Linked DNA regions of Oreochromis niloticus. Each later gene encodes a partner of the first gene's protein in a complex. Links are inferred from orthologs where the notes say so. Each region holds a gene or a part of one and is shown on either strand. Other genes may lie near its edges. The genes, in order: malt1 and bcl10.

Region 1 (7,241 bases):
TCTCTCTCAGTCATTCAGTATTTTCACATTACTGGCCAAGCTCAAGAAGGCAGTCCCTGAATGTATGCTAGTCATTAGTTTAGAGATTTTTTTCTGTGATGTGGACATTTACTTTAATTAATTGGCCTAAAAAAATCCCAATCAAATCCCAATTCAAATATAAATCATTTAAAGTGAAAAATTAAACTCAATTTTTTCATGAAAATATAAGCTCCTTTAAGCCTCCTTCCATTAATAGCATCATAATAGCACTAACACATTTAAAAAATGTTCAGATGGGGGAAAATACTAGAAAAGTAATTGATTCTAGAAAGAAAACAGTGGGAGGAACATCTGCAACTAATTAGGTTAATTGGCAACAGGTGAGTAACATGCATGGGCATCAAAAAAAAGCACAGACAGAGCTTCCAAAGTAAAGATGGGCAGAGGGGACACCATTTTACAAAAAACTGTCCACAAATTGTGGAATAATTTCAGAATAATGTTCGTCAACGTAAAATTGGAAAGACTTTGAATATCCCATCATCTACAGTACATAATCATCAAGGGATTCTGAAATCCCTTTGCGCAAGAAATAAGACTGAATATCAATACTGGTTGTCTGCAAGTTTTGGTCATCACGGCATGGGTTCAGGATCACTTCCACAAATCACTGTCTGTGAACACACTTCACTGTACATCCACAAATACCAGTTAAAACTCTGTCATGTAAGAAAGGAGCTGTAGGTGAACATGATCCAGATGATCTCTGATGGCATGAGGGTGCATTAGTGCCTATGGAACTGGAAACATTTAGAAATGCACCATCAACGCTCAAAGCATCATATACTCCCATCCAGACTATGTATTTTTCAGGGAAGGGCGTGGGTATTTCAGCCTGTCGAACTGCATCTATGTCTGGGTGTTGAACTGACCTGCTAGCAGTCCAAGCCTTTCACCAATGAAAACATTCAGTGCATCATGAAAGAGCAGCTAGACTCTTGTAACAGACGAGAATGGGACAACATTCTTCTCCCACAGTCCAGCAGCTGGTCTCAGACATTTATGGGCTGCTGTAAAAAGACGAGGTGATGCTACGCAGTGGTAAACATGGCTCTGCACCAATTTTTTGGGAGAAATGTTGCTGCCATCAAATTCAAAATGAGTTAGCATATTGCTTTAAATAGTGCATTTTCTCAGCTTAAACATTTTATATGTTTTCTGTTCTACTGCAAATAAAATAAATAAATCATTGTAATCTGTTTTTAATTACACTGAATACAGCGTCCCAACTCTTTTGGAAGTGGGGTTGTAGTATTTGTCATGTGATACAGTTTTAGGCATTTGATTTTAGATGAGTCATTAAGAATCACAGTTAATAGCTGGCCAAAAAAAGCCTAATTATATCCACAATGATTCAGTGTTCAGCATTTTCTCTACTGTTACATTTGGACTCTCTCAGTCAACTCTTTGGCTGTGTTTATTTGAAACTGGTAAGTGTGGCTGGAAATTACTCAGACTGATTTTAAGATAGGAGAAATCTTCTCACATGATTGCTCAATAGGAATAAAATGCTTTATTAAAAAGGGCTGATTGTTTAAAACAAATGTGGTAAAATTACAGGTTTCAAGTGTGACTACTTGTAATTTGCCCGAAGGCTGGGCGAAGCATTACATGTTTGCAGGATAACTTCCACAGCAACAAAAATTTGCGTTCAGCAGAGAAGCTCTCCAGTAGTTTTCCACACGCCTGTCTATCCAGGCAGTGCTTAGCCCATCTGGCCCGGTGGTTCAGTTAACAGTGACACACATTTAGTTTCTGTTTAATTCATGTTCACATTTTATATGAAACACGTTACTTACTTATATAGCCATAAACAATAAAAAGAACCTGTTTGTTTGGGGACGTTAAATAAAGGTGAGTTTATGTTGTTATTACCATCATGGTTCCAGATGGCATTTGCAAATCCAGACCTAACGAGACAAGGGGAAGCTAAACCAGACACACTGCACACAGGACAGGGACTATCAAAATAAAACAGGAAACACACGACAGGCACAGAGGCATGGACTTGAGACACGACTGACTGGGGAATGAGAAAATAAACGTGAAGTCAGAACTAAACCTACACTAAATGTGAGGGGCACAGGAACAAAACCCAAGAACTAGAAATCAGAAAACGAAGAAGAACTAGAGAGCTAGAAATACAGAACCATAGACCAAAAGACTAGTAATGATAAACCGTGATGAAATCAAAGAATTATAATAATACAAAACACTGGGTCACCGAACCAGGACTGTGACAAGTTTAAAGATATCAAAAAATAACTAAAAATATCAAAAGTATGTGAGGAAATAAGTCCAGGTTTGGGACTGGCGGTAGGAGTACACTAACAGCACCATGCAGTCTCATTGCAGTTTGTGAAATATAGTCACAACTATCATTTTATTAGTTTGTGTTTCTGTACATTAACTTTTTTCTTTTGTGTGTTCCTCAACATGAATTTCCCAGTATTATATTTGAACACTACTTTTCATTCATCCATTCTCCTATATACCGAATCTATTGTATATCTCAAATTTTTTCATGCATCATCACTTTAAAAAATATTATTAATGAAAAACATCCTTTCATGCTTAAGTTTAGACAGCTTGGTTTAGTTAGGTTTCGTGTTTTATTATGGGACTGGGCTGACTGAACAGCAGCACACGCCTGAAAAGATACGCTTCTAGTGGTAAAACAGTGCCACCTTGTGGTGAATTGTTTTCTTACATTTTGCAGGGGGCAATTACAAAAAGTGCCTTTAAACAAAGCCATTATATATGGTCTGCTCTGAAAAACTTAGGGAAAGAGCAGCAAGGACAAAAAAAGCATGTAAAAGCAGAAAAAAAGAGTGACCCTGATTACAAACAGGGAAAATTATCCTACTTAGTCATGGCATTACTTAAGACAACCTTTTCACCTAGAAAGTGGAGTTGCCAGCATTACAAAACAGGATTTACAGAGAGCCAGTCTCCATATGAATATGTGGAAGAAAAACTCTGAGATTCTGTAAGGAGACAAGGGGTGTCAAGCCACTCCTTTGGTCAACCCACAAACCCAGTGCTGACTGCGGGTTAGAGTTAGTCAGTTTAGTTTATAAGGTGGGGGAACCCTGCAGTCAGCTGAGACTTAAATGGTTACTTGGATGAGTGAATGTTTCCCCCACTGAAAACATTACGTCTAGATTAACAGAATCAATTTTTTTGTGACATGTAGATGAAATAAAAGTTTTGTGTACATTATATTGCAAACAGTTTTGACTTGACAATGTCAGTGCTGGGTAAAAACTGTTTGAGTCCTCAAGGTATCTTTCCAGGAAGTTATACCTACATAAATGAAAACAGGATTGATCCTTAAAAAAACCTGTTCATTTTCTGGGCCAACCAATAACCTATAGAAAACTTTCTAGCTCCGCCACTATGAGGAGGTCACCGGCTCCCACCTGAGCGGCTGAGTACAGCCAAAGAGTGCAAATTGAGCGAGATGAGTCGCCTCGCCTCAACTTTCTGTGCCACTTGGTTTGTGATTCTATGCCTGGGCACTCGTTTAAGGATGGATGTTGCATGTGAAAAGAAAAGAATATATAGATTAACCTTAATAAATACGGGTTATTTGGTATATACTAGCTAGTTTTAGCAGCGTTTACATTAAAGAAACCTCTGACGTATTAAAATCCACTGAACAAATACCAAATAATGGTGTTGATTGCGGGCTCAGTTAATCGTTCATTCATTGTCAAATGGCGAGTAGACAGCAGCTACACTCTCTTTGGCAGTTGCACAGAGCTAGCTAGTAGGGTATCCTCTTTCGATTAACGCCAAACAAAATTACGAATAGAAAATGAGATATCACACAGGTAGATTTTTGAGTAAGTTACTTGGTTTATCTTAATTGCGTGGAATTAATAAAAGGAGGTAAACTCCGAAAACAGGCCAGAGTTGGGGTTGTTTCTTTTCGCCTCTCGCCTCACAAGCCTACATGCAGAGATTCATCTTTACGCATAAGTGGTCTTTGGCAGAAGGAAACCACAACTGAGCTGCACCACGGGGAAAAACCAAGACGACGCTGTAGGCGTGTCAGTCATTTTTATCATTTCTTTCAGGAAGTAGACATTTTTTTTTCGTGCCATAACTTTGCTTTTGCGTGCGATAGAAACACGTTGATGGTGAGCTTTGGTTGAGGAACTGTCATGTCGGACTCTTTGGAACGGTCCACGAAGGTCAACTCGTTGAAGGAGCCGGTTGTGAAGAGGCTGTGTGAGGTGCTGGACAAATCCAGCACTAAAGGATGGCGAAAACTTGGAGAGATTGTTGGCAATGATAGACGGTTTAAAGTCAGGTGGGTTAAAAATTGCTATTAGTACTAGTATTTAGTAAATGACCAGAAATCATTGCATGCATACTCTCAACCACCGGTTTATTTATTAAAGCTAATGGGGACTAACGCGATTAACTTTCATTATAGTTACACTGTTCAGTTTATTGGTTATTGTGAATTTTATGTTGTGTCTTTATATTAAAAAATAAAGGTATAGAGTATGTAATACAGTAATGCACAATTAACCTGTATATTTTCTGGCATAGATAAATATGTAACTCCAAGTTAATAAATCAAGAGACCCCCTTTGAGAGATTAAATTGGACAACTATTTGTTTTTCATTACAGCATCTTCCAGGTTAATGCTAGTTAATGAAACTATCAATCAAAAATGTAGGGTCCAATCATTATTTATATGCAGTTTCATTAACAAATAATGGTGATGACAAATGTTTGCCTCTGATTTTTTTTTAATCCTAGCTGTTACTGTACGGCTGTAACATATGATATCACACCTGCCTAATATCACTATTACACCGTGTGTTTGAGTACATATATTCCCGGTACAGTGCAGTCTGCTCATAAGATCAAATATGCATTATTTATACCAAAACAGCAGCCAAAACTTAAAAAACAATGTAGCTCAATCAAATAAGTACAAACTTAATAAGTTTAGACAAGTGTAAAATTGCACAAAAGAAAGAGTTCAGGTAAATAGAGTATGACACTAATAAAGTCACTAGATAAAGTGTTTCACTGATTGTGCACTAAGCGGTGCAGATGGTGTAAAGATTAGCATTCATTTGTTTTTCTTTTAAACTTGTGTAAATTTATTCCCTTATCTTTGTCTAACAGTTTCTCATGACCTGAGTTTTCGTGTGTGAAAACGGTAAAGATGAGTTTTACTGTAATATGATTTAAAATATGAAATGCTGACAGTCACCTACATCCTTTCCAGCTCGGATGACATGGAGATGTGCTCTCTGAAGGTGCTGGAGCTGGAGGGAAGCCCGAGTCTCATGCTGCTGAGGCTGATGGGAGAGCGAGGCTGCACCACGGGCCATCTGATGGACTACCTTCAAACTTTAGGCAACTCAGAGGCTCTGCAGTGCCTGAAACCGCCAGGTAGAGTAAAACCACATTGATGCCGCTATGTTGTCAATCATGCAGGTTGATCTTCACTTTCTGCATTCTATTTATTTCTCATCTGAAGCTCACAGCTCATTGTGCTGTTTGGATGAAACTTATAGGTCATTGTCAGTGCAGTTTTAAGTCAGTGCAGCAGTAATCAGGGTTCATATAATGTAGGTTTCAAGAGGGAATGTTTTATTATGCTATTACCACTCATCTGTACCATTGCTAGCTTGGCAATTAAAGTTAAACCTTAAAGAGAAGCACCACAAAGTTCTGCTGTATACAGTCCATCTAAACTCAGTGTAAATTCACAGTAAATATCCTGTACATGTGCAGCCCTCCAGATCCTCATTCAGCCCCAGTCCGTATCCATTATATGTGGCCACAATCTGCGGCTCAGCTGCCACGCTGTGGGCAAGTCTCCAGTACAGTACCAGTGGTTCAAATCTAAGGAAGAGGTGAGTTCCTCTGACACACTCACACACACTGATTTTTTTTTGTCTTGATGCATTCTCAATCATCCAGGAAAGTAAATCTCCAAAAGTTGAATCTGTTCATCTGGACGTAGCGTTTTGTGGGAGAAACGTTTCGTCACTCATCCAAGTGACTTCTTCAGTCTCAGCTGACTGCAGGTTTCCCCAAACCTTATAAACAGTACATTTGCATAATGACTGAAACCAGCCCACTGAAGGAACAATGGGCTGATTTTTTTCTGACTTTAAATTAAAGTTCTTGCGTTAAAACCTCTTTAGCGTTTTTTACACATTCACTGCAGCCATAACTTTACTAACTTTACTAAAAATTACACAACTGAAATGCATGTGAGATCAAAAATGTCCAACAAAGCAAAGCAAAGCAAAAAGCAAACAAACAAACAAAAAAATGTCCAACATGGTCTGATCAGACATTAAATGGTATTTAAACCGACAACTTCCTAGTACAAAGTCCACCTGCATGATCCGGTAAATTCATCACTACTGAGTCCTGCTGTTGCATTCTCTTCTCAGTCAGGACTTTCCCATAAAACAAACAGAGTATTTCCAATAGTGAGAACACATGATTACCATATCATCGGTGCAGTAAATGGCACTGTTGGTTCATCGTAGTTAATGGGTGATCCTAAATAAGTGGTTAAGAAACTTAACTGAATCTCTTCCTATAGCACAGTGATGTTTTTTAGTGAGCTGAGCAATTCATAAAAGTGCACAGTTGCAAATGTCTGCATGTGTCCGCGTCAGCATGCGTTCAGTCTTGTGACGCCATGCTGAAAGGATACATAAGTGTTACTCGTTCTGACTTGCTAGATGTAACTTTTTTCGGAAGTGTGACGTGGGTGCTCGATCATAGAAAAAGACTGCGCATTCAGATGCTGTCGTATTATTACTAGTTCATATCTGAGTTTCTACCCATAGCTTTGATCTTTTCTAATGAGTTTTTGTTTTAGTTTATTTTCACTCAGTTTACAGAGTGGTTTTTTTCTCATTTCAGTTTAGTTTTGCGTTGTGTAGTTAATGTTTAAATTTAATTAGAGTTAGTGTTGTTTTTTGTGTTTTTAATTATTATAAGGAGGCTGTTTGTCAGCCTCTTCTGCCTGATTTCCCTAAATTAACTAACAGACTGAAACTAAGGACATTAGTTTTATAAATACACAATATTTTTTTCATTTTTTTTTCAAGACACTAAATGTAATTTTAGGTAATTGCAAGGTTATTTTTTAATAATTTTTTTCCCCCAAACTGTTAACTGTGACTCACAGTCTCTGAAATGC
Region 2 (7,373 bases), on another chromosome or scaffold:
TGCTGGGAACTGATTTTATTCTGTTTTGTGAGACAATGATTGCACTATTCAGTCTCTATCACTGTTATGAAGGAGCTCTTTTGCTCCTAACCAAGACTTTACCAGCTGGTGCTGGACCATATATATATGTATACCTGGCAGCTGAAATGCATGTGAACATGGCTCCTTAAGGGATTTAACACCAGGCCACTGCAAGTTCTGACATAAATATTGAAGGAAAGCCACATATTTCTATGACTGACTGAATTTCTCCCTGAGCTGAAGCTCTGTTTAGACTGTTGCACGTTGTCTGCGAATAGTGTTTGTATTTTCCAGCCTTGCTAGTGTTACAGATTAAATTTCCCTTCAGTCATCCTGTAAGGGCGTGTGGATGGATTTGAGTTTGACTTTAAGTTTTCATAATGAGAGACGAGAGCCTCCTGGAAACGTTTGAAACTTGGTAATCCTCTGTTTAGTCTAAATCAGAGCAGTCAGAATGAGATACTAGACAAAAAAAAAAAGAATAAAAAGAAAACCCAAGCAATGCCTGAAGCAAAATTCCTCTCAGGATGAGCACTGCAGGCTTCTTTGAAATAGATGCCAGGATAAAAAGCATCTTCTTCCATCCACATCAAAGAACAAAGGCATTTATAAGGGAGAGAATACCTTTCCTTTCATTATAACCTGTGAGAATAAGAGGCCGAGCAGAGCAGATTGGCACCGCTTCTGTCTTATCTAACTAAGGTTACAAAGGCCGGTCTGAGTCAGCGCCAGCTCCAGCAGATGAAGAGCGAACAAGCGGGAGCTTGGTGTGTTTACCGATGCCTGGAAATCGCTGACTGTTGTGGCTTGGTGTGGAAATTTCCTTCCAAAATTATAATATCAAGAATCTGTACAAACATGTTAGGTAAGAAGAACGGAGGCGGATGTGGAGGGCAAATTGCATGTCCTCTTCCCACAGTTCAGAAAATGAATGTGAAATAAAACAAGTGAGAAATTGAATCTTTCCTCTTTCTTAACATCCTAAAACACTGTTACCCCAACAGTTTAAAGCCAGGGTGTCAAACACTAGGCCCAGGGGCCAAAATTGGCCTCACGGAGACTCCAGTCCAGCCCACTGGACAGCTTTAGAAAAAATGAAGGAAGGCTTGAATCTTAGACTTTTAACTGTGTTTTCATAAGCTTCATTTTTGCAGCCGTGGTCATTCACGCTACACCAAAGTAACTGGTCTTTTCTAATTGGAAATTAAGCTTCTATACACTGAGACTGGCCCATTTAAGATCAAAGCTGGCTGCATCTGCTCCTCGATGAGTTAAAATGAGTTTGACATCCCTGGCTTAAAGGAGTAGTCATCACTTTTTGGAGCAGATATCAGCGATGCTGAAAATCTAATATGGCAGCAACTCAGTGCATATAGAAAGCAGAATGATACTACTTTAGATATGAATGTTTCTGGAAGCCACTGAAAGTTTATATTTTCAAAAAGAAATAATAAAAAGTGCCACGCCGTATTACAAGCTGAACTGATCACTGTAAGTGAAACCTCTGCTCTACCTCACATTTTCACATCATGTGCAAAAACAACAATCGATAAAATAAAACACTGACCTTATAAAATCAGTAGACTAAAAGTAGACAAATTATAAATAAGAAAATGTGAAGAAAATCGTGTTAGAAAGTTCAATGAAAGATCAAATTCAAGGAACATCCTGGGCTTTTTACTACATTTTACAAGATCCAGAGAAGCTTATTCATGTCTTTATGTCTTGCAGGGCTGCCTAATGCGATGCTCCTTTTATTGTCCTCCCTAAAAAGACTGTTAGACGGTCACAGATAATTCAGAGTGCTCTGATTCTCAGCTCCCTGCACTGACTTCCAGTAAGGTACAGATTTCAAACTATTGGTTATTGTTTATATGTCATTAACAGCCCTAAATATATATCTGAGATGCTTAATGAATATGAACCCAGTGGGTCTCTAACCTGGTGACAAGAGCAGACAGATGTGAAACTAAAGAGGGCTTTATATACGCCTCTTGCAAAGAGGCGTATATAAAGCGTGCATTTTCTCATATCTTGCAATTTACTTAATGAGAGCGACATGTAATTACTTGAAAGTTATTGTGTTAGAGAGACCTTTTATCCTCCCACAGATACTTGATACAAGCCATGGGTGGACGTGCATTGCACAGTACTCTGCAGCGCCCTGTTAAAATTACATATCCCTGATACTTAATGGGATACACCCGAATGGGTAAGGTGGGTGGGCAGGTTATAATAGGCTGTATGAAAAAAAAGCTATAAAAGAAGTCATTTTGCATGGTACTTCGACTGAAAAGCGCAAATACCTCCTCACTTACGCATATTGTAAAATCACAGTGGATGCGAGGTCACGGTGGTGTCTTGGCTGTTACGTGAGAGTGGGTTTTGTGCTGATATGAATGATAGTCCCGTTGGTGACATCATTTCTATAAATGCCTTCTTTTCTTTTGTGTCTGGCTCTGCGCGAAGGGCACTCGGGAGTCAGCACACTGGGTTCATTTGAAACGCACAGCTGGTTATTTCCAGGCTGCTGAGCTCTGCTGTCCAGCATGAATGAAGGGAATTGTGGTGAGGAGAAGTGGGCACGCATTGTCTGTTTCTGTTAACGCTCATTCCCCATTTTTGTTTAACATCTGACATTTTCCTGCTGCGATGAAACAGCAGCCAGACAGCTGTGAGGGGGCTTTAAATCATTATCGCTGCGTGAGTCCTGCGATCTGATTTACAGTTCATATACATTTCTGCTTGCTAATGGTCTTTTCACACAGCACATACAGTACTACACTGCAGAGCATGACAAAACAAGCCTGATAACAATCTCCTCGGGGAGCGCCCCTCCTCTCTTTGTGCTATACTGTGATTAGGGGGAAGTGAAAATCTGTATGCATTCAGCCATTGTGTAATAGACTTCATGTTTACCAAAGTGTCTGATCACTTCTACTGCGCAGCACTTCACTTTGTATATGTGAACTTTGACCCCGTGTTGTCTCTGAACTGCTGATGATTTTAATGCTATGACCCTTCAGTTTTATTTGTATATAAACTGTTCTGTGACCTAATCTATGATACAGACTCTGCCTGCTGACAATTTACATTGTGATCATCGCATTTCAAAGCTCAGTACTACACTTTAAAATGTGTCCAGCTGCATGACTGACAGTAACAGAAATATATTTACTTGATGTACAACTCTGATTTTCCGAGTTTCTGTGCAGATTTTCCAAACAAGACCAGCAAATCAACAGTTTACATAAAATCAGCTCCATCACAGCCAACTAACTTATTAAACCCTTAGTTGTTTGTGTAGTAGTAATAACCTTATTATTATCATTATTTTTGCAGACGCTGTTTCAGATAGTTTAGTTTGTGGTGCTGTTGAGCTTGTTCAGACCGAATTAGTCTTAGGTGCACATAAGAAACTGGCAGGCAAACCTCAAATGTTTAATTTACTCAAGTTTAAGGCGCCTGAATTTTCTAACACTATTTAACTTCTACGCTGTTTTTCACAAGGAAAATTTATCTGATGGTGACAGCTACTTTGCAGATTGTGACTCCACATACAAAACATGCAAACAGATCGTAAAGCACAGGCGTTTTTGTGAAGCAACTGAAAAGCCCTGCATCACATTAAAAAAGCTTACATTTCACCTCAGACTTGCGTCATTGCAATAAATCAGCAACAAAAAAGAAAAAGTTATAATTCTAAATTGAAATTAGCTGAGAATCGCTCTGTACTTAAGTTACTTTGTAAATTACAGAAATCTCTTGTGCAGTAGCCACACAGTACAGCAGGGGTGCCAAACTCAGCTCAGTTAATTGCCCACAAATGGAGTAAACTAGTAAAGTAAAAAGCTCTTATCCCTCCTGCTTCTTTGAAACCCATTACAAGTGGTAACATTTCCCATTATTTTTCTTTTCTCATTTAATAAGCAACCCTGAGATCACTAAAGAAAAATAACTGCAATTTTAAAACTATGTCTCAGTTTTTCCCCATTCATCAATATTATCTTTATATTAAAGTTTACAGATCACAGTGGGAGGACACCTGGCCATAGTGATTTATTTTAAATCTTTCTGATTCAAACAACTAGTTTAGATCTAATAATACTTTAAACTATAGATGTTTTCATCCCCACTAACTTCACTGCAGTTTTGACACTTTACAGAGCTGTCCGGTATGGGAGCTTTTAAGAGGGCCACTTCTGTGCCCTGGACCACATGTTTGACATCACTGGCCTATAACACTTACTTTTCTTTGAATGAATGCTGTCATAGACTAAACTGCGGGGCATAGCAAAACCTGCCAAACGTGGTGTTTGTATGCGAGAAGGTCCAACAGCGCCACCTAGTGGAGTTATCGAGAGCCGCGCGTGGCCATGGTCGGAAGTGCAGAAGCGCAAGAAGTCGCACAGCAGAACTCAAAGCGAAGAAAGTTGCTCAGTTTGGAGTTGTTCTGGTAAAACAGGAGAAACCTTAAAGTGAACGTGGACTTTTTTATTCACAGTTACCGGTTTAAACCAGCTCTGAGTGGGAAACTGACGTCTCTGCCGTGTGTTGACGTAGTTAAGCCTCGACACAATCAGGAAGTCCGGGGATTTTTTTTTTTTCCGTTGTTGAAACAAAAAAAAGTTGAATGGATAGTCGATAGACCACCTTTTATCGATTAATAATAAGGTGTCAGCTTATTTAACTTCTATAATTTATTCGCTGTTGTGTTTTAATCCACCACTACGAGATTATTAAGATAATTTTCAATCGTTACCACCTGGATTTTCACTTTGCGGGGGAGAGGGATGGATGCTCCTCACCTCACTGAAGATGAAATGGCAGAGATAAAGAAAGACGTGAGTATTATACTTCAGGCACGCCCTGGCTTCCTAATAGATGGCAGATCAATCTGATAAGGGGAGCCATGTGCAAATAGATTTACTGCTAAATATATATTTATGCTTTGCTTAGCGCTATAGGCCTATTAAAAGGAGGAAATGCCCCCACCACACCCTCTTTGTGCCCTCACCATTTCCACTTTCTGTAGGATTTAACAGCAGGACAATAGGATGGACGTTTAGGGCACATCTGGACACCCAGCTTACTTTGTATGTGCCACAGAGAGAGCAGATCCAGGCCTGCTGTAGTCTTTGATATGGGGGAAGGGGGATGAACCCTGGACTGTGTGTTTCCTGTTCATTGACACCTCACTTTGCCCTCTTTTTGTCCACCCTCAATGACTTCCTGTGGCTCTTCAGGTGCTGACCAGATTGCGGCACTACCTCTGCGATAAAATCAGAGCAGATCGCCACCTGGACTACCTGCGCTCTCGCAGGATCCTGACGCGAGACGACGCAGAAGAGATCAGCTGCAGGACTACGCAGACCAAGAGAACGGCCGTGCTGCTGGACATACTGGCTGAGAACCCCCGCGGCCTGGATGCCTTGATCGAGTCGATCCGGGAGATGCGCTCGCAAAATTTTATCATCACTAAAATCACAGACGAGGTGCAGAAGGCCAAAAATGAGAAGATCGAGTCCCTCAGAGGTTAATACGTCAATTTCTAAAATAGTTGTGTGTGTGTGTGTGTGTGTAATGCAAAAAAGTGCTTAATGCGGTTGTTCTTTATGACTTACAACTGTTCCCCTTTTTTCCCCCCTCTTCTATTACTCAGCGGCAGGAGCTTCCAGTTCCTCATCTGACTCCACTTTCAGCACTCCAACCTCAACCAGCGACCTCCCGTTAACATTTTCAAACAACTCCACCTTGCTCTTTCACCCGGACAGCGAGAAAAGCCCTTCCAACTCAGATGTGGGCACCTCACTCGATCTGCTGTCTTCGCAAAAAGCTGGAGACTCCTCTGTGGCTTGCGCCAGCATCGCCACACCTTCCACGACTTCATCCAGCCTCCCGAAGCCCGGAGACCCCGGGGCGCCTCCTCTGCCGGACGAGGTAATGGTCGAGTCCCCCTCCAGCATAGATGCTGGAGCGCCAGGGTGCACCAGCGGAGGCGATCCAAACTTCCAGCCCCTCCGGTCGCGCTCCCTCACACCAACTTCAACTAGGAGTATCTTTTAGGAGCATATCTCAATAAGACAGTTCTCAACCGGTTAAAAAGACAACCACAACACTCTCTCTCTCTTTTTCGGTGTTATTCGTGCCTTCAATGAGGCGGTTGGTGAGAAATTGCTGCACATGGGCATATACTGTATACTACCACTATATTAGCTACCTTTTAGAGTGAAAATGGGGGCATTTTGTCATCAGTGAGGCTGGGATAACTTTTAAAGATTGTTTTTTTTGTTTTTCAAATGGTGGCAATTTGTTGCCTTAGTTTTCATATAAAGCAAAAACCAAACCAAACCCTAGGGTATGGAGATTGCCTAGTTTAAAATGGAAAATATGACTAAAATGAGACAAAGGTGCCATCAAAGAAGAAAGAGGAAATCTGCGCGTGCATCAGATGCATTTCTAACGCGGTTAGATTTCCAACGTGATGTGTCAGGAGTGAAGAAAATGTGACTCACCCTCTCTAACCTCTCCTACTCCCCTTCTGTGACAGGAGGTGTGATTTTTCTGATGAGCTGTAAAGGCTGAATGCAGTTTCTATGTTGTATACACTTGAACGACTACTTGAGAATATATACATACATATATATATATATATATCCATGTGTGTGCGTATAAAGAGCCAGTCTTGGAGCAGAACTCCAGCTCATGTTTTTCTGTTGTTTGTTTTTTGTGTGTGTGCATTAAGTCATCAAGAATTTGCTTCATGTTTTTGTCACTACAATAGTCTTGAATTAGTAAACATAGTTTCAGTGACATCCTATTTCTTTCTCTATTCACTGGTCATGTAATAATAAAACTAAAAGTTTTTCATATATGGACTGGGCTTTTGTTTCTTTTTTCCTTTTTTCACCGTGTGGTTGTGTGGTTCCTGTAGCGATTATGAAAAATCAAAGTGTTAGAGTGCCGATAATTGTTGTTGAAATAGGGCATTAACTGTCGAGGTCAAAATGAAGTGATTGACAGGCCTACAACGTGTAAATGTGTCGTTAGCTTCTGGGTGCGCAGACGTACCTTTTTTTCTACTTCTGGAAAAAACTGGAAAAGCTACAAGTGGCGCCGAGGAATGACAGTCATTGTGGTGACGGCTGCAGTGGTGACTGTACCACCTGTTTTTTCATACACCGCTGAGAAGCCCTGAGTGTTAGACTGGGTGAACTTTGGGTCGCTGGTGCTCGGCGAACGCTAACAGGTATTTAATTTATTATCATAATTATATGTAGAATGAAGTTTAACACATGTAGTTAGCATCTGATTTAAAAATATATATAATTATATAATAACATCCAATATAA

Evidence for each region.
Region 2: the proteins of malt1 (region 1) and bcl10 are in contact, whole or in part, in a cryo-EM structure (PDB 6GK2), measured with the Homo sapiens proteins. The link is inferred for Oreochromis niloticus from reciprocal best matches to the Homo sapiens genes MALT1 and BCL10. Residues at the interface, in NP_006776.1 of Homo sapiens: Asp46, Gln47, Ala48, Pro49, Trp54, Arg55, Leu74, Glu75, Ser78, Leu79, Val81, Leu82, Glu83, Pro84, Glu85, Gly86, Pro88; in NP_003912.1 of Homo sapiens: Leu13, Lys17, Val83, Arg87, Asn93, Gln97, Thr100, Leu104, Arg107, Asn108, Leu111.

Annotation. Positions count from the first base shown.
Region 1 is NC_031977.2:28,480,646-28,487,886, forward strand, and holds the start of malt1 (mucosa-associated lymphoid tissue lymphoma translocation protein 1), read left to right. Parts: upstream 1-4,030; 5' UTR 4,031-4,211; coding exon 4,212-4,360; intron 4,361-5,297; coding exon 5,298-5,464; intron 5,465-5,809; coding exon 5,810-5,931; intron 5,932-7,241. UniProt on the Homo sapiens protein: Protease that enhances BCL10-induced activation: acts via formation of CBM complexes that channel adaptive and innate immune signaling downstream of CARD domain-containing proteins (CARD9, CARD11 and CARD14) to activate NF-kappa-B and MAP kinase p38 pathways which stimulate expression of genes encoding pro-inflammatory cytokines and chemokines.
Region 2 is NC_031982.2:20,184,481-20,191,853, reverse strand, and holds bcl10 (B-cell lymphoma/leukemia 10), read left to right. Parts: upstream 1-4,366; 5' UTR 4,367-4,814; coding exon 4,815-4,865; intron 4,866-5,267; coding exon 5,268-5,556; intron 5,557-5,683; coding exon 5,684-6,087; 3' UTR 6,088-6,893; downstream 6,894-7,373. UniProt on the Homo sapiens protein: Plays a key role in both adaptive and innate immune signaling by bridging CARD domain-containing proteins to immune activation.